2 linked regions of the Mytilus edulis genome follow. The protein of the gene in region 2 purifies or fractionates together with the protein of the main gene of each other region. This does not show direct contact. Links are inferred from orthologs where the notes say so. Each region holds a gene or a part of one and is shown on either strand. Other genes may lie near its edges.

Region 1 (13,013 bases), on a different chromosome or scaffold from region 2:
AAGAAATTTTTTTAATTTTATTTTTTTAAGTCGAAATATTGCCATTCACTCGTAATAACAAGTTGGTAATGACCATCGGTATAAAATGTGTTTATTATATTTTTGACAAGTAAGCAAAAAACCTATGTGAAACTTATAATTTTTCTTTAGCTAATCTTTTTATTATAATATAATAATAAAATTACCTATATATGAAAGCGTCTTTTTAATGAATGGTCATACAATATGAAGAGTTTAGAAGTATCAAAAGTAAACTGTAACAGAGTGTTAATTACCCCGACCCTATGCGTATGGTTGGACCATATGAGTATACACCCATATGGTCACGACCATAGGCGTATGGTCCAAATACTCATATGGTCCGGAACATATATATAGTTTGCATATAGTAACTTTCGACAATTTATAATAATTGATCCTTTAATATGAATGTTTCTTTAGTCATATTTGCATGCAAAATGCCAAAAATGCCCTAATGTTATTTGTAGCTTAAAATAATAAAAGGGAGATAACACCTCATTTACCTAGCTAGTGCTGTCCTTGTATCAAAATCTAGTTGCCTCATTGACTCTTTGACCTCTAGGCATCCTATATACTGATAAATAAAACAGATACAATCAATGTAAATCATAATTAAATACATGAATGTTAAATGTGTCATTATGGCTTTGGGGACATTTTTTAAACTTGTTTTACATGTTTAGTTAAATATTTAAAACTTTTGTCATGCATGTTTTATTCGAAACTCAAAAAATCGCCTGTTTTGATAATTATAAAAGTCTAAAACAAACCGTTTGTACAATGGAGAACTCTTTTCAAATAGAAAAAGATCAAAACGAAAAGAAAAATAAACTGCTAAAATATTCTTACTTTGCTGTAATGTATTCATAATTTGCCGTAAAGTTACATGTACCAGTATTTGAAATCTGTTGAAAATTTTCTCTGTTTATTACACTTATTACAACCAGATGCTCCGCAGGGCGTAGCTTTATACGACCGCAGAGGTTGAACCCTGAACGGTTAGGGCAAGTATGGACACAACATTCAAGCTGGATTCAGCTCTAAATTTGGATTGTGATTAAATAGTTGACACAGCATAGGTTTCTGACACAGAATGAATGTGTTCTAATGAACTTAAAATTTTTATTTCTCTTAGAGCAATTCACTATGCTGTTGAATATTAATCCTCTCAAAAAAAAATGTTTGAAGAAATTTTCTTTTTTATTTATGAAATTTCAAATGAGAAAAATTGAACCCAATTTTTTTAATCACATCCCCCTTTCCCTTATTCTAAAACTAATCTCAATTAAAATTTCTAATGGAGTTTGCAACAATAACTACTCATTTAAATACATCATAAAATATTAAGATGTAAAAAAACTGCTTGTTATCACTGAATGGTAAAGATTATTTTAATTTATCAGTTGGTAGTAAAAAGTGAATATACATTGTATATTGTATATAACAAAGATTTAAGTTGATTCTGGACAAAGAAAGATAACTCCAATTAAAAAAAAATCTTGCTATTGCACAATATTTTGCAATTAGATATTTCTTGCTTACTATTCTGGACAAAGAAAGATAACTCTAATTAAATTTTTTTTGATATTTCACAATATTGTGCAATTAGATATTTCTTGCCATTGCGCAATACTGTGCAATTGAAAAGACTTGCTATTGCACAATACTTAATATAATAATTTAAGATCCTGATTTGGACCAACTTGAAAACTGGGCCCATAATAAAAAATCTAAGTACATTTTTGAATTCAGCATATCAAAGAACTTCAAGATTTCAATTTTTGTTAAAATCAGACTAAGTTTAATTTTGGACCCTTTGGACTTTAGTGTAGACCAATTTGAAAACAGGACCAAAAATGAAGAATCTACATACACAGTTAGATTTGGTATATCAAAGAACCCCATTTATTCAATTTTTGATGAAATCAAACAAAGTTTAATTTTGGACCCCGATTTGGACCAACTTGAAAACTGGGCCAATAATCAAGAATCTAGATACATTTTTAGATTCAGCATATCAAAGAACCTAACTGATTCATTTTTTGTCAAAATCAAACTAAGTTTAATTTTGGACCCTTTGGACCTTAATGTAGACCAATTTGAAAACGGGACCAAAAGTTAAGAATCTACATACACAGTCATGACAGTTAGATTCAGCATATCAAAGAACCCCAATTATTCAATTTTGATGAAATCAAACAAAAGTTTAATTTTGGACCCTTTGGGCCCCTTATTATGTTGGGACCAAAACTCCCAAAATCAAACCCAACCTTTCTTTTATGGTCATAAACCTTGTGTTTAAAATTCATAGATTTCTATTTACTTATACTAACGTTATGGTGCGAAAACCAAGAAAAATGCTTATTTGGGTCCCTTTTTGGCCCCTAATTCCTAAACTGTTCGGACCTAAACTCCCAAAATCAATACCAACCTTCCTTTTGTAGTCATTAACATTGTGTTTAAATTTCATTGATTTCTATTTACTTAAACTAATGTTATTGTGCGAAAACCAAGAATAATGCTTATTTGGGCCCTTTTTTGGCCCCTAATTCCTAAACTGTTGAGACCAAAACTCCCAAAATCAATCCCAACCGTTTTTTTGTGGTCATAAACCTTGTGTCAAAATTTCATAGATTTCTATTAACTTAAACTAAAGTTATAGTGCGAAAACCAAGAAAATGCTTATTTGGGCCCTTTTTGGCCCCTAATTCCTAAAATGTTGGGACCAAAACTCCCAAAATCAATACCAACCTTCCTTTTGTGGTCATAAACCTTGTGTTAAAATTTCATAGATTTCCATTCACTTTTACTAAAGTTAGAGTGCGAAAACTAAAAGTATTCGGACGCCGGACGACGACGACGACGACGACGACGCTGACGCCAACGTGATAGCAATATACGACAAAATTTTTTTCAAAATTTGCGGTCGTATAATAAAGGGAGGTAACTGCTACTTACTCTCACACCATAGCATACACCAGCATCAGGCTTTATTTGTGCATCTGGATGAATCCAGCCTCTATCTGGTTTGTGCATAAAACTACCAGTTTTTGACCATTCAGAAGGTTGCTTCTTCCCCTTTTTATGCTTGTCCATTCTGGAAAAAAATATAGTGCATGTAGACATTTGGACAAATATCATATACAAGATATATCTATAAAAAAGTTTTCTGTGGTCTTGGTTTCGGATATCTTGCTGTTATGTCTTCATTAGATATAATCATAATCCTTGTTAATATAATTAGACATGAGACTTTATTTACTTGCAGCTCATTTATTAGGTGTTTGATCATACACTGTAGTAAGAATTTTCATTTTTCTATGCTTTAACACCAGTGAACCAGTAAGAAAAATACACAGCCCATTCCGCATTTAAGGACCAAAAAACATGGTAGTTCATTGACTAACTGTCTGTATCTTCCTCTTGATTTAGAGTTTAAAGGAAAATTTGTGTTTTCATGGCTTTTTGATTTTGTGGTTTTACAACAATTGGCATACAAGCCTATTAAAAGGAAATTTGTATTTTGTTGAACATTTCAAATTTGGGGTTCACAAAAACCCATGAATTCTATGTAATTTAAAAATTCCACTTGAATTCATAATGAACTCACAGAAGTCAACCTTATTCAATCCTTATATCAAAATGTTGTGAAGTGAAAGACATATACAGATTTCTATACAGTATTCTTGGAGATTATCCACTTTCACTTATTTCATTAACAAGGTAATTAATTTGGGCAATCTCATTGTAATTGCGTCAGATCATATCAAAATTCCCAATAACTTGAAGATAGATTTTATAAGACTTACTTGTATAATGGTAAAAATTGAAATTTTATAAATCTTATGTTAACATTTTAAAACTAAATTGAAGTGAATGCAGACTTTGCATTTAGAATGATTGGAAAACAATGATTTAACACATGCATTATACATGTATATACATTGTATTATACAAGTAAAGCACCCATTTTAACATGTACATGTAGGCCTTTAACATTATATATATGTATATGTATATTAATACATGTACTGTGACAATTTACCAACAGAGGTTGTGGTAAGGGTTAACTGAAATTATCATTAGTGGTTTTTATAATGTCAATTCATCTATTACAATATAAAAACACAATATGTCAATAACAACCAACCCGGTAAATATTTCTATATGCTTAACAAAAAATAAAAAAATGTAGTTACTTACTTATCATGCTTATATCATTATCATTTACAGTCTGAATTTATGTATTATATTGTATTAACAAAATTAAAATTGATCACTACATTGTATCATCATTCAACATATATATTTATAAATGGAAATAGATGAATAAAATGATTTATGAATATTATAAATATATCACTTACACATTCAAAGTTATGCACATTTACAAACAGTTACAGATGGTTACTCATGCAGATATGGTAGACCGATTGTAAATAAAACATATTGTACACAATATAACCATATGTCTGATAACAGGGATATTAAGTTTATCTCTTAGTTCCTGGTTGTAATATTTCAACTTTATTATGAAAGTCAAGGACATGGATACTTTATTTTATATATATGATATATATATATAAATGTTAAAATATTACAAATTATCTTTCTTGAAATATATTAGTTTTTAAAACCCTTGAGCATGTTGAGTGTAAAAACCAAATCCATCAGATGTTCACAATGGCTTTCAAATATCTGTATCAATATTTTTTTAAATGTGTCTTACCTATTTGTTTAAGGGTTCAAACTTCTTATAAGATAACATTTCATGGAAATCTTGACAAAGGAGTCTCATTTTGAGATCTTGTCATTTATATTTAGATATGAGTTATCTAAAAAGATAATTTTGACACATGTCTTATGCAATGATGTAAATGGGGGTAAAAATTAAAATACATGCATAGCTGTGACTCAAATATCATTTTGCCAAAACAGGGTCATTTTAAGACAATCTGTCAATTTCAACATGTTTATGACAGCATAACTTATATTTTTGCACTAAAATGTAAGGAGTATATCGTTCTTTTTATTTCTCAATATTATAAAGGAGAATTCAATCTGATGCCTTGTACAGAGTGATGCCCACACATTCTTCTCATTTCATCCATCTTACTAGCATGCACTTGTGTATTTGATTATTATTGTTGATGATACCATCTCTTACAATACACTAAATTGTGCCCACTTTGTTGAAACTTAAACTCATTTCCCATTGTAAATCAAAATGTGGAAGCAATACATGTATCACTGACCTATATCTGACCAATCCACTTATGGTTTTAGAGAAGAGGGTCTAGACAGGCTCAGGCATGTACTTATCATGTATCGACAATACATGCAGAAATTTTAAAGGAACTGAAATTCTAAGTTACCGTTAATTTTGTTGATATTTGCTGAAAAGATGAATGCTTGATTGTTGGTAATTCATCTTAATAATAGTATGAAATTCAAAACAGTGTAGCTGTGGCCATTGATTGACACATTAAAATCATTCATTGACTGGGACAATTTAGGTGAACGTTTGTATGTAACGACCAATGCTCACTATGTACTTTTTAAAGAAACTTAAACTATGGGGTCACCAAAGGTTCTCAAAACCTAAATAAAGTAATTCGAAAAATTAATCAGAAATAACACGATATTTTGATTTATATCAATTATATAAATCAAAACACAAAGTTTATTCCTGATTAATTTTTTCGAATTATTTTATAATTAAAGGCATTAAGAAACCTTTGGTGACCCCACAGTTTAACTGTCTATCGTAGGTACGTCATGAACAGTGGTTGTTACAGACAAACGTTCACGTAAATTGTCCCAGTCAATGGATGATTTTGATGGGTCAATCAATGGCCACAGCTACACTGTTTTGAATTTCATACTATTTGTATTTCTATGTTTATTGCATCATGTCCATAGAAAATATAGATTTTTGAAAGCAGAATTTGACCTGTAATGGTTTACTTTTATAAATTGTGACTTGAATTAATACAGAGCTGTCTCATTGGCACTCATACCACATCTTCTTATATCTACTCACTATTAATCCCTCAACACATTCACCTTTAACTGATTCACATTGCCTGTACTTGAGATGAAATGATACATCTAAAAGCGAGTCTTGTTTCAGCTACCGGTTCATATCAATGTCGCAATTCATTCAGATTAATGCAACATTTAAAAAAATATGTCTGATCAGATCTACATGTCTTAGAAATGACTTTGGTTAAATTTGATAGAAAAAAAAACATACATGTATATTCAATTGTAAAATTATTAACATTAAACAAATACATTTAAAAGTACCTTCATTAATCCTAGATCATTGTAGATACAGGACATTAATTTACTACATACATGTAGTACTTACATAGTACCAAAACACAACAATAAGTCCTGACTCATCACAACTGGAGCAACGATTTGTCATCAATAATATATAATTGTTTTAATGGCCATCATAAACTTCCTGATCAAAAATAAAACAATACCACAAGACTGCACCTTGTAAAGAAATGTACTTGGCTCACTTTAAATCTATACTTCCCAATTGACATATATATATAAAGTATATAATGAGGTTCATATATCATATACTTTTACATCTTTTCATGTATTTTATGTACGTGTATATATGGTTAAAAAGGTCAATAAAGTACATTCAATAATGGTTTCAGAGGAGAAAATTTTGGCATAAGTTTGTTACCAGAAACTAGGTAATAGAGATAATTGTGCTCATTTACAGCGATTTTTTAAGTAAGGACATAAATTTAAGATTATTATTGCAATTTTCAGGAAGAGCTGCATAATATATGCATCAGATATTCGAATGCCAGTTCCTTTCATTGCGTTACTCATAACAGTCCCATTATTCACATTAATAAAAAGCATTACAATATTTTATGAACTTACAGTAATCTCATTTACTACCCCTTCATACCAGGTGAGCTAAAAAGGGGGGTTTTCAAGTTGATCATTCCACATTCAAATTTTACTTACATGTAGTACTTGACAGCTTAATCATGTGCATGATGAATTATGATTGTTTTTGAATTTCAAATTAAAATCTAGAAATGTGTGTAAAGGCAATGCAATATTACAATGTACACCAATAACAATATTGCTAATTATACTATTTAACCCTTTACTCTATGGAGATTTTTTTTTTAAATACTTGATTCGCATAGGATTTTTTCAATAAAAAAAAATATCAGGTTTAAAGTATTAATGCATTACAAAAACAAATATTTCATCAATGAAATTCAAGTCAGATATTCTTTCATATAAGATACAATTTTTTTAAAGTTTGATGCAGACATTTTGTAGTCAAAGCGTTTCATCTTAAGTACTACACAGGTGTCAAAAGGCGTTATTATGGAGTAAAGGGGGTGGCGTCAAAAAGCGTCATTATGGAGGAAAGGGTTAACTGCTTGATTTTTTAATGAAGCAAATAACATTAGTTTTATAACTGGTCATCTTAAACTTGCAGTAAGATTTATCATTTAGATCTGTGTTGATGGCCTTACTGTGACTCAGTGTTCTCCCCAGGCCGATATGACGCTGCGGTCCCGCATCGCCTTCATAATATTTTCGTAAATCCCGCAGCTATACACATGTGTGTATATGTCTCTGCTTCAAATGAAAAGGGAAATACACTTCCGATCCATCTACACTCAGCTGTCAGTATACACAGATATTATTGCTTCCCCTAATCCCAACCGAGCTAAAGTTTTAGCAGTGATAAAAGCAAGCACCATGTTTCTGGTTTCAGTGACAAGTGGCTGACTGAGTTTTCATTGCTTAGAAATGTTAAAGGGGGTATAAGCAAAAGTTATTGTGAGAGGGGGTGTTCAATCCCTAAAGAGGATAAAGACAAAGTTGAGGAACAGACTGTCCAACAAAATAACATTATCTTGAAACAATATCCCTAGAAGGAGTAGAGAATACAGAGATGAATATTTTTATTTTGACATCTTGAATGGACTGAATATATATATATAAATAACTTTTGTGTTTAAATCAATTTATTTCATATATATTCTTGTAATTCACTTTGCACTATTAAACACACAACACAAAGCATTATAACTCATATTGCATGTCATGATTTATGACTGATTGATTCAGATCACAAAAGTTCACTATAAAAAAGAGTTACGCACCCTTGAATTTTGCGCCTTAGAAAAATCCTGGGGAGAACACTGGTGACTTAGAGATGAATAACAGCAATAAAAGTTTATACTGTTTTGACTGCACATGTACTGATTTTCTGTCAGGAGTGGATATCCCATATATAATTCTTTCCATGTTATTTACCGGTATTGGTATTTGGTCGATATTGCTTGAATTGGATTCAACCCCAAAGTTGATCCAGCATCAAGATGATCTGGTCCAAGACTATTCAGCTCAATAATAAAATAATGGATATATAAAGTTCTAAGAGTTTTGAGAAGCATTTGAATTGGTTCAGGTTTAACAGAAATTTGCACATGCAAATGTTAATGTGCTGATGATCGAATACATATTTTTGGAAAACATTAATCATGTTAATAATGATCAATAACTGGTTAGTACCACATTTTTCAATTTGACTGAGTAGATTTCATAGCAATTTTTTTTACATTGGCTTTGAAATTAGCTTTTGTGAGTAAAATTGTATTACACCAGTTAAAAAGATGAAAGATTGTTCAGATGAAAATAAAAAAATGTTGATTAATATCTATTGTACATAAACTACATGTATAAACTTCTGTAATATATGTTTTATTATAACTTTATGTAACATACACAATAGTCTTAATAAACATACCCGTACCCAGGTGGGGTTTGTCTAGAACCCCCCTCCCCCCTTGAAAACAAATAACCACTGTTAAAGTCAACGTTCTGTTCGAATTGTGACTGTTAAAGTTGAGTTCGTGAGTCCAAATAACCCCCCTTCGGAAATTCTTGGCTACAGGCCTGATAAATATTTATATTAAAACCATTTCATGTTTCATTTATACAGTTGGACTGAATGCAATATGACCAAAAGTTATGAGTCCAGAGGACTCTCCTTCAAAATTCTATGTAAACTCAGAACACAGCAAGAATGGAAATGCTGACCTGCCTACCTTTATCATTTTAAATGATGTAACCATAAACCAACATTTGTGTATGCCTAATACCGCACAAATGACAGCCTGCTGCCAAGGGAAATATAATGATAGTGCCATGGCAGTCTGGTTCACTGCAATGCAATGAAAAAATGATACCCTAAAGTATATAACCCTGAAAATACAATGTGCAGAATCTATGTAACCGTCTCTTTGAAAATGTGTTTTTTAATAAATTGTATGTAAATACTGAATGACTGATAGTGATGTCTCATGTGTTTTTTATACATGTATATACATTTAATTTGTATGTGATATCAATATATTCAAATGGTTAATTGTTTTGAAAGGTAGCATATTATCTATACAAAAAGGAGGTTGGTAATGCCCTTTACTGTCAGGCAATTAACGCTAATTTTTTTGGTACCGTTAGCGTCTAATTGGTTGAAATTTTACTGTGATTCGTCAGAGGTATCAAATAATTATCGTTACAATTATTTTTTGGAAAAAAAATATTGTGATGTACATTTTATCGTCATGCACTAAAAATTACCATTAAAGTCATTTGGCAAGAATGTTTACCGTAATATGTCATGAAGGTACCCCAATTGTATCTATGTACTTTGATTTCCAATATTTTCCCACCACCAGAACAATCCCAACACAACACCGCCCAAGGGAGCGTGTATGACACCGGGGAAGTCTGTTATTATGGTGGAGGAAGCCGAAGGACTCGGAGAGAACCACCAGGCCACTCGGTGGAAACAGACAAACCAGAGAGATATCAGAAGATTGATCTTCTGGTCAAAGTAGGGGGCAACTTTGACCAACCAAGGCCCCCAAAGTACCCATTCTAGTTTAAATTCCGGTCTGGGTACCAGAGTTGTGTGTGAGAGGGTGAAAATTACCCTTCTGATGTACTGATATTTTTAGCACCCCAAGTGAGAACTTTTGGAACGGGACCTTCAGCACTGTAGCCATCGGTCTTAACCACTAGACCACGAACTCACATAACATTACTACCCTTAAGAAGGGGCTCCTATTTCAAAAACCTAAATCTGTCAGTGTCACTGGACAAAATCATGAAAATGACAGACATTGGTTTTTTTTACACTCAATAATTGCTCAAAGTAATAATGTTTCGTATATGGGAGTTCCGACCCTATTCATTTTTTGTGTTTGCCGCTTGCAGATTTTACACCTGCACAGAAAAAAAGGTAAAATGAAAAGTTAGACAAGACTGCCCTTCCTTACATCGCAACTGCCCGACCACCTAACGGCAATGTGTAAGGTTTATTAGTCTTGTCATTCCTAAAAAGGAAGATATGTGATAATACTGATAAGGGTAACATATATTTCTTACCTATTCTGTGATTATTTACTTCATAATTTACAAAAATAAACTATTTCCAGATTTTATCGTGACAAAATAAAACCGGAAGTTTATATCATTACTTCGCATGCGCAAGAAATAAGATCGACAACTTTTGTTCCCGCGAAATTTCAACTGTAATTTTATCCCTTTAGAGTATTTTATATGTGTTTTTTTTTTAAGAAATGTTCGCAATACCGTATTTTCCTTCTTTTATTCAATATCAATACGATATAACAATAACAGCAATTATATATCGTTAGAAAATTTTTACACTCTATTGAGAGCAGAGACTGGTAAAACCAAGTATTAAACAAAGCCTTGGTGAAACTGAAAGGGGCACTAGCTACAAGTACATATTATATTAAAAAAATATTTTTTTTTAGGTTCAAACATTAATAACAGTAAAATAGTAATTCGCTTTAAACAGCCAGTATGATCCAATTTTGTCAAAATTAACTAAGAACCATTGTAATGAATTATTCACTTGCAAGTGAATAATTCGACCTCATTGAATCCGTGTTCTTGTGAAGCTAGAGATGGATAACGTATGAATTGTGTGCGTGTTTGATTAGTTTTAAAAAGGAAAAGAATGTCAACATTGAAAGCGAAACAAAGGTAAATCATTAGATTGACTATTCCTCAAACAAATCATTCTTATACAGGTAAAAATGATGATTAACAACTATAAATGAAATTAAATAGATCTAGAAGAATCCAATTCCACGAGTTCCACTTTCTACTTATATCTATAGTTATGTTTAAATCGCTTATATGGGCATCGGAGGTCACAGTATTTAGGAGGTCAACTCGACAGTTAATTAGATTGCGTCTAGACTAAAATACACACAAAACGAAGGGGGGGGGGGGGGGGGGGGGGGGTCAACGAAGCTACGTATTATCATGCCCATGGCCTGTAAACTGTTTACTTTAGACTTTTAATAATTTTGATAAATATTTTACATTGTTATAAAACAAATATGAGAATTTGAGTCAAATCGATGAACATGAATTTGACAGCTAGTGCTCGTTAGAATTTACAGTATATATATATATATATATATATATATATATATATATATATATATATATATATATATATAAAAAAAAAGCACCAAAAAAAAATATCAAGGAAAAAAGGGATCCATTTCCCAAAACGCCTGTGCCTTTGACATGGACATACAAACTTTTTCATGTTTAAGAATTGGTGTACATCATCCGAAGAATGAAAATTGCAAATTTACAGATCTAGATATACAATCAATGCACACTTTATAAAAATGGCCCAGCATAGTTATTTGTTGTACTTTTTTTTAATCTCAGGCTAATATCAAATGCAATACCCACACTAGAGTTGGTGATGGCAGAACCTATAGAAGGCTCCGTGGAAGCCGATGGAAGGCTCCGTGTTGAAAGCCGGACCTTGACCTATAATGGTTTATTTAATAAATTGTTATTTGGATGGAGCGTTGTCTCATTGGCACTCATTACCACATGTTCCCATATCTACTAAATACAACTTATGAGCGAGAGGATTTTTTTCAATCCTTCAATTTTTACTTAAGACAAAATCAAAGTGAATGGGTTCACTTTTTAAAATCTTACAATTTACTAGAATGCATTCTGGAAACAATATAAAACAATTTTTACAGTACTATTGAGAAAGTTGAATCATTTTGACAGACATAAAACTATTTTTTATTTGTTCCGAGTTTTGAAAATACGCCGGCTGTTTTTTTTCCAGATTTTGAACTCGAATTTGAGTTAAACACAGTCATGATCCGATATAAGATCTTTCACGATTCGATCTCAATTCTCAACCACCATATGGTCTTCTTTCACGATAATTTTTCTCGATGTACCGAATGACAACCGTGTAATGTCTGTAATTGAACGTCGAGCAAGATGAGACTATCTATAAATTAATGATGTATCGTAATATTCCTGCCCTATTCCAGAATCCTTTGGGATGTATGTCCTAAAAAACAACCAGTTATATTTTCTGCAATTCTCTGTATCATGTTTAGGGCCGAGGCTAGGAGCTTAAGTCAGAAAAGTTTGGAACTGTAGTGTAAGACATCAGAGTAAAAGGAGTACATGGGTAAATATCGATGAAAAAATACACAACCGCCTTCATCCAATATTTGAATATACAATTCCTTTCTGCATCGTAAAAAAGTTTTATACAGATATGTGAATCAATGATGCAATTGTGTATACACATTGAATGTGATTCAATGATTAAATTGAGTGATTCAGTAAATTCTGTTTTCTTGTTTGTAATCAGCACCAACAATTTTGTGATGCGTCATTTAGTTCTTTTCAGCAGCTTTTAGCCCAAAAGGTATGATATAATAGAATAAATTCATTTTTTGATATTGTTATTATGTACCGGTATGGCTTTCTTGTTTATATATAGTGATAATTTTCGAAGAAAATCTAAGCCATATACTTATGAAACGATTGGATTATAAGCTAAAGCAGTAACACATACATTTGTCTTAACTCCCGTTTTTCTCCAAGAG
Region 2 (12,683 bases):
AAAAGTTAGAATGTAAATGTAGGACAGAAAGTCACAGGACAAAAAGTCACAGACAAAAAGTTACACAGTGTACTAAAATATTAGGATTATCATTATTCATTTTAAAATAGCCTTAGTTGATAAGCATGGTCGGACCAAATTGTGAAGTGCCCATTTTTCTGAGAAAATGTCATTCGCCAAACAATGATAGGTTTTACTGTATACATGTAAATGATTGAATACCATTATTATTTCACAAATACCCAAAATAATGTCACAAAAAGGATGTAAAATGAAGAATTTTAATATTCCTATGTCTGTGTAAATATTGCAGCCTACAGGTTAATGTTATGTCAGTTTGTAGAATCAAAATTTCAGTATGAAAGATGCTTTTGTTGTTTTGGTGATTATCTTTAAATTGGTAAAAAGTATTAAATGATAAAAGTAGTGATATTCCATGATAAAGACTGACGTAAGCAAACAAAAAAATAGACAGATAGAGCCTTTGATGGAAAATACAGACTCTTTATAAAATCCTTGAGAGTAATCACAGAAGCAGTGATGCTATCAGAGAGATTTCTATCTTATACATCAAGGAAATAAGGTTAAACACTTTGCTCAAGTCTTACACTGGCTAGAGACAATGATTAATTATTAATATGTACATGATTTTTATAAGATATTGAAGAAATATATATGATCATTTTAATAATATTTTGGTTTAAAAAAAAAATTATAATAAAAATGATAGTGTAACAGTTTTGTGTCATCCTGGCTGTCCATCAGAGGTCCTTACTGGGTAATTGACAACCGCAAATATTGTTATTCTTATTTTATTATCTAATAAGGTCAATACTTTGTATGTTGTACTATAATAGTTTATAAAATGCTGTAGAGTTAATATTTCAGACAAAATGGGGAGGTCAATGTAAATTTAACCTGGTAGAAAAATATTCTCAATAACACACATGGAATTAAGGATCCTGAGTAAGAGGGTTACAGGTTCAGTACCCATGTCTTAGATAGAATATTGTACCCAAAATGAAAATTACATAATTGGTGCTTAAATTTGTACTTATATTGAAACTTTCAACTTCTATTTTATTTGATTCTGAAATGTATATGGTGGATTTAAAATAGATAAAATAGATCTAAGATTTTAACCAGGAAGTGAATAAAAGATCCTACTTTAAATCTCAAACAGTATTGCTCTCCAGTGGCGGATCCAGAACTTTTCCTAAGGGGGGGCCCGTTGACTGACCTAAGGAGGGCCCGCTCCACTCATGCTTCAATGAGTCCCTATAAAATCAACCAAATTTTTCCCACAAAAGGGGGGCCCGGGCCCCCCAGCCCCCCCTCCTGGATCCGCCTATGCTCGCTTATGTACCTTTCAAGAGCAGTCCTGAAACTATAAAGAAGGGGGAAAATATGTGGCCTCAATTTTAAACAGTGAGGGACTCAGAGGCAAAAGATACCAAAGCAACATGCTAACTCACAAGTCAGAACAGTGAGGTACTCAGAGGCAAAAGATACCAAAGCAACATGCTAACTCACAAGTCAGACAGTAAGGGACTCAAGCAACATGCTAACTCACAAGTCAGAACAGTGAGGGACTCAGAGGCAAAAGATACCAAAGCAACATGCTAACTCACAAGTCAGAACAGTGAGGGACTCAGAGGCAAAAGATACCAAAGCAACATGCTTAACTCACAAGTCAGAACAGTGAGGGACGCAGAGACAAAAGTTACCAAAGCAACATGCTAACTCACAAGTCGAAAAAAAAATGACAACGCCAATTTAAAGAACTTTTAAAAATATATAATGATTAACATATGTTGAACTCGTTGACCACTGTTGTATACATAGAGATGTTAGTGTTGTTTTATTTAAGGAATGACTGTAATATTTTTTCTGTCTATGAAGAAATAACATAAAAAATTTGATGCACACTGAATAACGCGTGTAGGGGGTTATTTAACAGTGTGCACCACATTTTTTATGTTATTTCGAATAGACAGAAAAAATATTAGTCATTTCTTATAATTTAATTCTAAATTCTATTTTAAACCGTAGAAAACCTTGAAAAAACGTTGATGACGTTGTGGTCACATGACTAAATTATGTCTATGGTCCGATAACAAAATAATGTCGGCCAATCAGAAGACGCGTTTCATCCAAAATTAAATTATTTAATATTATTATCTTTACCTGATTGTTTTTAAAACCTTATTATAGTTATGATAGTGTTTGATGGCAAAAAAATATTGTATTGTTTGTCTTTCAGCAACAAAATGGTTTAACTTTGAAAGACAGAATAAAGACATGGTGAAGTCCTCCAATGTTCTCTTACAAGATCTGTCTTTTTCTGTATATATTTTGAGTGATTATCCATATAAGAAAAAAATGTCATGTAAATTATAAGAGCATTGTTATCCCAGTTGTAATGTAACAACAGAAGACTATAAATATGTTATGATAGACTAAGTAGTGTTGAAAGTGATGTTATAAATATTGACAGTAGTTAGATATAGATCATGTTTCCCTGTATAACTGACAGGTGTAGTCACTTTCGTATCTGAGGGCACAGTGATTAAAGAAGTAAGTATTAATTATTTAATTAATTTAATATGTAAGTAACTTGGATGTTTTTCAATGATGTTTCAAGTTCAATCCATAAGTTTTACCACCTTTAATGTGTTTTACCCCTCTACATATATTGATTTCAAAATAATATATGTTGTTGCAAAAATGACAGGTTAGAATGCATACAGCAAGTACATGTACATAAAAAACATAATACAACACATGAAAATAGTTCTTAACAAGTCAAGTTAATATTAAATAAGTATAGATATTGTAAATTCAGAAATTCATTGCATGCATTTTATATTATAGGGATGATACATTTCGACTTAAATGTGACTTAATTTTTGGGATATTGATAAAAATCCTGTTAAATTCATAAAAAAAAATTCAAAATCGAATTGTTGTCATTTATAATCCTGTCGCATTTATTGCAATAATAAAAACATCGCAATAATTTCTGAATTTACAGTAATCAATCTAATTATAATATAGAACGCAGATGTTTTAATACTAAAACCCATTGGTAGTATAATGAAATCAAAGTTCTATATTTTATAGTAGTATAACGAAATCAGAATTCTATATTTTAATTAGATTGATATTTAATTGACCCATGTGGACCCCTCACAATTATACACAAGAAACATGCAATACATGAAAAGTCCTAAACCAGTCAAATTACATGTACTGTAAATTCAGAAATTATTGCATACATCCATTATTGCGATTTTGTCAGTTTAGACCAAAATGCGATTTTAAATTTGTGGTATATATTCAGCAAAATCCTGTTTGATTCATATTACAAATTCCAAAATGCGAGTTTTAATTATTGCAATTATAACCCTGTCGCATTTTTCGCGATAAAAAAACGTTGCAATAATTTCTGAATTTACAGTAATTAGTAAACATAGATATAATTATATAGATAATTGACCAATGTGGACCTTATTTTTGCTTAACCTATATGCGTGTGATTTAGAAATAAAATATAACAAAAATAACGTATACAGATACATGTATATAACAAACATATTTATAGAACAGTATAAAAAGCTACATTATCATTGAATACAATGCTTTTTTCCATTCTTGTAATTCTTGGTTGCTGTTATTCTTCGGCTTTTGCTTGACCTATATAGATGATTTGCAAATTAAGTTATAATAATACAATGGCTACTCAGCCTAAAAAAAATCACAAGTTGTCTTTGAACAAAAGACATTAAACAACACCAATTCTATTTCAGCAACAATTTTCTAATAAAGTTCTAATTTAATCTCTTTAATATTCAAGCCTTTATGATATACATGTAATTGCTGTGAACTTCTTTTTTAAATAATTTGTCAAGATCTTTTTATCGAACACTTTTGAAATAAGATGTAATATTCCATTTATTCTTCAATCTTGGTTGAAATATTTTAAAACAAAATCTTCATTTTTCAAAATAAAATTGACCTTCAAATACATGTATTTTTTCTTGAAATCTTTGAATATTTTCCCTAGGAATTGAAGTATATAATAGAAGACAAATATTGATTAATGATTAAATGTTGTTGTAAATATTTAATCCTTTTGGCACTTTTCAAGATTCTTAGTTAATTGTACATTTGAGAATAACTTAAAGTTCATCTTGTGGAATATCACACACAAGTTAACAAGTTACCAATTTAAATGCTTCTTCTATAAATTTTGTAATTGTAGGCCTGGGACTATTACACTAACCATATTAGTCCTAGGTGTAGGATCATTTTTAACATGTAAAAAAAATAACAAGTGTTAACCTATATGTTTCTATTTAAATAATTAAAATCATTGGTAACTTGGAATACAATGACACATAAAACTTCTGAACTTAAATATTATGTTCATCAAATGGTCTACCTAGTATAAATCAATTTTCTTTTTTCTTTCATTGGTCTGGAAATATTATGGTTCCATGGTGTATGATTAAGTGTAATAAAATGTTCAGAAAGGCGATTTGTTTCTTTAATTAAAATAGCATTTTCAGAAATTGATGACACCAATGTCATTGTAATTCTAGTTAAGGAGCTGTGACATCACTTTCTAAACTGACATCAAATTCAATTGGGAAATTAAATTTGATTTTTCAACATTGTATTGAAAAGTAATAACATTGTGTATCATTGATACATTGTAGTTACATGCTGATTACAAATATTTAATCAGGTTGAAGTCTGATAAATCATACAATTTACAAATTATTTTTTCACTGAAAGTAAATTAGAAAATTGTTATATTACTGCTCTCTGCCATTGGACTTAAAAATGGTAAATCTATTTCAATTAGTTACTTTTCTTTTCTGTAAAAAAACATAAATCCCGTTTTCATTGAGCATGAAGTGATGAGTGAACAGGGGTCAAAACACATGTTTTGATTGCTATCAGTGATAATATTGACAATACAAACAAAATCATTGCCAACAGACTCTTGCTTAATTACCCTGTAATTGCATACTCATTAATACAAGATAAAAATATTCAAATACACATAAAGGATGGTATTGGCAATCACTTCATTCACAAAAATACATTCACTCCCCAAGAATGCAGACTGATAACTTTTACACCACTCTATTTACAAGTGGAACTTTTATGTTTTAACGTGTTTATTAAAACTGTTATGTAACGAAGATAATTTTATTGTGAAGGTGTATATGTAAAGGTATTTTGATTTGCCATAGTCACTGCATGAATTTTAGGGATTGTTGTATAATCTTCTCCGTATCTGTAATACTAAACTATTCAACTTTATATAGATGTGTTTTAAAATTTTAAAATAATATAAAAAAAAATGATTTTCATATTAAGATTTGTATAAATTATTATCAGCAGAACGAAAACAACAAATAAGATTTCTAAGAATATAAGCGACTACGGAACCTATTATATGTCGTTTGAATAACTTTTTCAATGACCCGAAACCTTACCTGTAAAGTTAACCTAAATATTATTTAATGTACCTGAATGGAATAAATAACATAACCAGACTAAAAACTATGAAGAATAACACTTGGTTCAATTATAAAATCTAATAAATATATTTTCGTTTTATAACAGCCATAAAATGGGACGTCTTCTAAGACTGTTTAAAGTGTACCTCTCGGTGTACCTGGATAAGGTAAAAATAACAAAAATAAAAACGAAACACCTACCGTGTTCAGGATTTGATATTAATCCATATCCATGGGAAAAACAAATCCCAAAAAGAATACATATACATAATAATAAATTTATATCCAAAGCCATTTCAGGAAATATGTTATTAAAAGTTAGTTCCAAAACTCATGTTAATTCCTACTTGGACTTCCCCGCTGTAGATACAAATAAACATGCGTTTGTTTAACTGCGCCACCGGAAATAACGTCATCAAAAGCCTGTCCATTCATCTTTTACAGAGCTTACTATGATCTTACTACTATAATCAGCTGTTTGTGATATCGTAATAATCGAAATATTTGTTAAATCAATCCAAGAATCGTGATTCGTTATTTTGATAAAACTCTAGTATACGCCTCGTGGCTCACTTGGCATGTTTATTTCTTGTTACCTAACTTAACTAGCTATAGTTCGCAGGATACTTTATATATGACTTATATTTAACAACCACTGTATTCTTAAGGTAAACACCAATTTATTTTTGTTTTATAATATTAATTGGATATGATCAATATTTGGCAAAACTCGTAACTAGTATGAACTCCTGTAGTCTATTGGCGTATGCTTTAAGGAGTTGATATTTTTTAGATACGCTAAATTAAAGTTACCTAAAATCAGAGACATCAGTATTTAATACAATTGTATATGTCTCTTCTTAAATGAAGTGCCTTTAATATTTAAAATGTATAAGATTTAATACAAAAATTTAAACTATGAAAATCAAAGCTGAGAATATCAAAACTCAAGTAGAAAACGTATAAAATATACATAGAAGTTTATCATGTGTATTTTAGTGAAAGCTCTCCATACAAGCAGATACTTTTACCAGCGTTCTACGCTTATTCTTCAGTTTTCTCTAATATTTTATCGACATGTCAAAAATGAGCTTCTGGCAAACCGAATATTAGAGGAAAGATAAAGTTGTTATCTTTACATATCGACATCAAGTATTTGAATATCACGGGAGTGTCTGAGATCTGTATCTCATTTCCCTACCCTTGGGACATTTAGACTTCGGTTAATTAAATTTCCAAATTTTAATATAAAAAAAAAGGAGGCTTGGTTTGATTGCTGATGCGATATCTTCCCACCAGAGTTAACTTGAAATGAAGCAACCACACGTCGCCATATGGACTTCAACAATGAACAAAATCCATTCAGTAAAGTGAATAAATCAGTTAGGAAAAGGAAAAAAAGGAAAACGAACGTCCTGATTATATTAGTGACAAAAGACACAATGAAAGAGTTAACGACAAACAACTATGACATGCAGACAACAACCAACAAGAAACACTATTAAATAACAAGCTAACGGTAACACTCGGACATGGCCATAAGGAACATTACGGTCTAAACACACGATATTGATATAAGATGACTCAAAGTTATACTGAAAGCTAACGGTGACACTCGGACATGGCCATAAGGAACATTACGGTCTAAACACACGATATTGATATAAGATGACTCAAAGTTATACTGAAAGCTAACGGTGACACTCGGACATGGCCATAAGGAACATTACGGTCTAAACACACGATATTGATATAAGATGACTCAAAGTTATACTGAAAGCTAACGGTGACACTCGGACATGGCCATAAGGAACATTACGGTCTAAACACACGATATTGATATAAGATGACTCAAAGTTATACTGAAAGCTAACGGTGACACTCGGACATGGCCATAAGGAACATTACGGTCTAAACACACGATATTGATATAAGATGACTCAAAGTTATACTGAAAGCTAACGGTGACACTCGGACATGGCCATAAGGAACATTACGGTCTAAACACACGATATTGATATAAGATGACTCAAAGTTATACTGAAAGCTAACGGTGACACTCGGACATGGCCATAAGGGACATTACGGTCTAAACACACGATATTGATATAAGATGACTCAAAGTTATACTGAAAGCTAACGGTGACACTCGGACATGGCCATAAGGAACATTACGGTCTAAACACACGATATTGATATAAGATGACTCAAAGATATACTGAAAGCTAACGGTGACACTCGGACATGGCCATAAGGGACATTACGGTCTAAACACACGATATTGATATAAGATGACTCAAAGTTATACTGAAAGCTAACGGTGACACTCGGACATGGCCATAAGGGACATTACGGTCTAAACACACGATATTGATATAAGATGACTCAAAGTTATACTGAAAGCTAACGGTGACATCGGACATGGCCATAAGGAACATTACGGTCTAAACACACGATATTGATATAAGATGACTCAAAGTTATACTGAAAGCTAACGGTGACACTCGGACATGGCCATAAGGAACATTACGGTCTAAACACACGATATTGATATAAGATGACTCAAAGTTATACTGAAAGCTAACGGTGACACTCGGACATGGCCATAAGGAACATTACGGTCTAAACACACGATATTGATATAAGATGACTCAAAGTTATACTGAAAGCTAACGGTGACACTCGGACATGGCCATAAGGAACATTACGGTCTAAACACACGATATTGATATAAGATGACTCAAAGTTATACTGAAAGCTAACGGTGACACTCGGACATGGCCATAAGGAACATTACGGTCTAAACACACGATATTGATATAAGATGACTCAAAGTTATACTGAAAGCTAACGGTGACACTCGGACATGGCCATAAGGAACATTACGGTCTAAACACACGATATTGATATAAGATGACTCAAAGTTATACTGAAAGCTAACGGTGACACTCGGACATGGCCATAAGGAACATTACGGTCTAAACACACGATATTGATATAAGATGACTCAAAGTTATACTGAAAGCTAACGGTGACACTCGGACATGGCCATAAGGGACATTACGGTCTAAACACACGATATTGATATAAGATGACTCAAAGTTATACTGAAAGCTAACGGTGACACTCGGACATGGCCATAAGGAACATTACGGTCTAAACACACGATATTGATATAAGATGACTCAAAGATATACTGAAAGCTAACGGTGACACTCGGACATGGCCATAAGGGACATTACGGTCTAAACACACGATATTGATATAAGATGACTCAAAGTTATACTGAAAGCTAACGGTGACACTCGGACATGGCCATAAGGGACATTACGGTCTAAACACACGATATTGATATAAGATGACTCAAAGTTATACTGAAAGCTAACGGTGACATCGGACATGGCCATAAGGAACATTACGGTCTAAACACACGATATTGATATAAGATGACTCAAAGTTATACTGAAAGCTAACGGTGACACTCGGACATGGCCATAAGGAACATTACGGTCTAAACACACGATATTGATATAAGATGACTCAAAGTTATACTGAAAGCTAACGGTGACACTCGGACATGGCCATAAGGAACATTACGGTCTAAACACACGATATTGATATAAGATGACTCAAAGTTATACTGAAAGCTAACGGTGACACTCGGACATGGCCATAAGGAACATTACGGTCTAAACACACGATATTGATATAAGATGACTCAAAGTTATACTGAAAGCTAACGGTGACACTCGGACATGGCCATAAGGAACATTACGGTCTAAACACACGATATTGATATAAGATGACTCAAAGTTATACTGAAAGCTAACGGTGACACTCGGACATGGCCATAAGGAACATTACGGTCTAAACACACGATATTGATATAAGATGACTCAAAGTTATACTGAAAGCTAACGGTGACACTCGGACATGGCCATAAGGGACATTACGGTCTAAACACACGATATTGATATAAGATGACTCAAAGTTATACTGAAAGCTAACGGTGACACTCGGACATGGCCATAAGGAACATTACGGTCTAAACACACGATATTGATATAAGATGACTCAAAGATATACTGAAAGCTAACGGTGACACTCGGACATGGCCATAAGGGACATTACGGTCTAAACACACGATATTGATATAAGATGACTCAAAGTTATACTGAAAGCTAACGGTGACACTCGGACATGGCCATAAGGGACATTACGGTCTAAACACACGATATTGATATAAGATGACTCAAAGTTATACTGAAAGCTAACGGTGACATCGGACATGGCCATAAGGGACATTACGGTCTAAACACACGATATTGATATAAGATGACTCAAAGTTATACTGAAAGCTAACGGTGACACTCGGACATGGCCATAAGGGACATTACGGTCTAAACACACGATATTGATATAAGATGACTCAAAGTTATACTGAAAGCTAACGGTGACATCGGACATGGCCATAAGGAACATTACGGTCTAAACACACGATATTGATATAAGATGACTCAAAGTTATACTGAAAGCTAACGCAAACCAGATAACAACTTATATTAAATTCTAAAAGACCACGAGACTCAACTTTGATTGAATTGTAGAAGCAGCAGCTCCCGATTTAAAGTTGTGGTTGTCGACGATCGGTTCATTCACTGCATATAATTGGGGGTTCATAATTGTTTGTTGAAATGTTGATTTTCCCCGCCAGGATAGAGGTTTTCTTCGGGGTGGGGGGGGATTCAGTACGCACATCCCTTTTCGTTAGAAACAATATTTGTTAGCATTATTGTGTCCAATTTACTTTCGATGTCTCATCTGTTTACAGAATTACGCCACCAATAAAAAAAAAAACGTCCCGGGTATTGCACTTAAGGTATAGATGGTTTAAAAAACTAATCATATGAATACTAGAGAAGACTGACAATTCAGGTTATGTTATTAATGTATAATTTGTTAAAACTCAAGCACTTTACATAACATGCGTTTTTGTGGACATCAAATGATTTTGACACAGATAAGCTACTGGTGTCTTTTGCAACTAAATCATAGCAAGTAATATGACTTGACTTGAAAAAACAAAAAGAAATTCATATTATACTTATATAAATACATGTATTATATATAATTTGTTTTTATGGCATCCTACTACATGTAATTTTTCAAAATTCGTGATTTTTTTTACTGAAACGAAGTTTTTTCTTTCCAAAACTATTAAGCAAAATTTCACCAAAATGTAATATGCATATCTTCGTAATAATATTATGCACAAAAAATTAGCAAAACTTCATTGGCCTTCTACTTTTAAAGTTGCATTGATAGAAAACATTTATCAAAATTTGCGACATTTTAACAGAGTTTGTTCCTGTTATTGGTGTAGAAATACGACGATGTGGTATGATTGCTATATGATACAACTCTCCATGCATGAGAGATCAAATGGCATGCATAGAAGTTAACAACTATTTTAGGTCAATGTACGACCTTCAACAATAAGCAAAGCCCATACCGCATAGTCAGCTAGCTATAAAAGGCTGTTACTTCAATTTTCACTAAAATATAATGTGCACATCTACATATTATGCACAACAGTCAGTTGTGCAAAATTATATTGACATCCTACGCATACTTTGGATTTTTTGCGTTTACAAACGTTGTTGACGGACAGACGAAAAGACAAACAAACTGAAAATAATATAATTCCCGCATATTCGATGGCCCCTAATAAGATGCTGTTTACAATGAGACATCTTTTCATTAGAGACCAAGCGAACGGTATAATACCGGTATAAGAACTAAAGGTCACCATACGACCTTCAATAACTAGCAAAACACATACCGCATAGCAAGCCATTACAAGCCCCTAATTGCCACATGTAAAACAATTCAAATGTTAATACACTATACTACAAAATAATTGCAAATATGAAATAACTCTGTCGCCGTGCCATATCATTTACCCTAAATGTTATTTTCCAGTGGTATCAATTTAGCCAGAACTTGGAATTCATTTACGCCAAAGAGCCTGTATAAATATTAATCAATTAAAATGTGTTAAACTGTGACATACTTAAATCTCTTATAAACTCTGATTAAGATATTTCAAAACGATGTAAAGAAAAGTCAAAATTGATTTATTTTCATTAAAATTTTATAAAAGCAGAAATAAGTCGCTATGAATTATCAGTTTTGTGAAAATCAACCCAAAAACATCGATGATGTATTATTGTCTTGCAAGTCAATATTTCAATCTTATTCAATCTCATGGCCCGTATACATGAGGTCATTATTTTCAGCTTGAGATGGGTTGCAAATGTGATCAGGATCTTCGGTTATCAAAAAGAAAAGAATGTGAACATTGAGAATTGAAACAAGAGGGTCACCAGTAGGACTTTTCTCATTTCTGATTCCGGGTGTTGCGAAAAGGGTGTTCCAAATCACAAAAGTATAAAATCGTGCTACACGGGTTACTGAAGTGTGTATCCCATTTTTATGGTGTTTTTTTTTTCATAGACAGAAAAAAAATATTACAGTAATTCAAAAAAGTATGTTATTTTCTGGAATTGCACCCTCTTTTCAAAAATCGCGATTCCGTCCCGCAGTTTCACGTTTTATTAGCATTATTAATCAAGGGAAATACAGTTTAAATCTCCACTCTCATGTCTCATTTAACTGACAAAAAAAAGAAACTGGTAGTCGAATTTTCCTGACTTGATGAGAATAAGGATAGAGGGACAGCATACATAAATTATTGTAATATCCGTAGGGATAACATCAAGACGGTCCATGGCTCAAAGAAAGCGGAAACGCTTTTAATTATCTGTATCTAAAAACTTGGTTTTACAAAGTTTCTTGGGGAGAAAGCTACCGATTTGTATGTTTTGATGGAAATTCCATGGAAGAATTCCTTCGATTAAGAAAAGAACAGACTCTGTAGCATTCAATAAAACTGGTAAATTCACTTATTTTTTTTGAAAATTTTGTCATTTTATGTAATAGCAGTTGTACTGGATATTTAACCATGTGATTTTAATGTAATTTTAATATTCTGTAACGGTAACAGAAATTGTCTGGATTTTGTAAAAGTCGTTAACAACTAACGCCTGTAAAATAAGTAATTATTTGAAATTTTGAATGGCGGATTCT

What was found.
Region 1: the proteins of epidermal growth factor receptor-like (region 2) and SHC-transforming protein 1-like purify together in Drosophila melanogaster (affinity purification with western blotting; 3 studies listed by BioGRID). This does not show direct contact. The link is inferred for Mytilus edulis from reciprocal best matches to the Drosophila melanogaster genes Egfr and Shc.

Annotation. Positions count from the first base shown.
Region 1 is NC_092347.1:75,000,725-75,013,737, forward strand, and holds the start of SHC-transforming protein 1-like, read right to left. Parts: upstream 6,658-13,013; 5' UTR 6,430-6,657; coding exon 6,395-6,429; exon of another isoform or gene 6,331-6,394; intron 4,540-6,330; exon of another isoform or gene 4,409-4,539; coding exon of another isoform or gene 4,389-4,408; intron 3,119-4,388; coding exon 2,980-3,118; intron 596-2,979; coding exon 525-595; intron 1-524.
Region 2 is NC_092357.1:52,092,257-52,104,939, forward strand, and holds the start of epidermal growth factor receptor-like, read right to left. Parts: upstream 6,017-12,683; 5' UTR 5,830-6,016; coding exon 5,736-5,829; intron 1-5,735. UniProt on the Drosophila melanogaster protein: Receptor tyrosine kinase, binding ligands of the EGF family and activating several signaling cascades to convert extracellular cues into appropriate cellular responses. Known ligands include spitz, gurken, vein and giant-lens.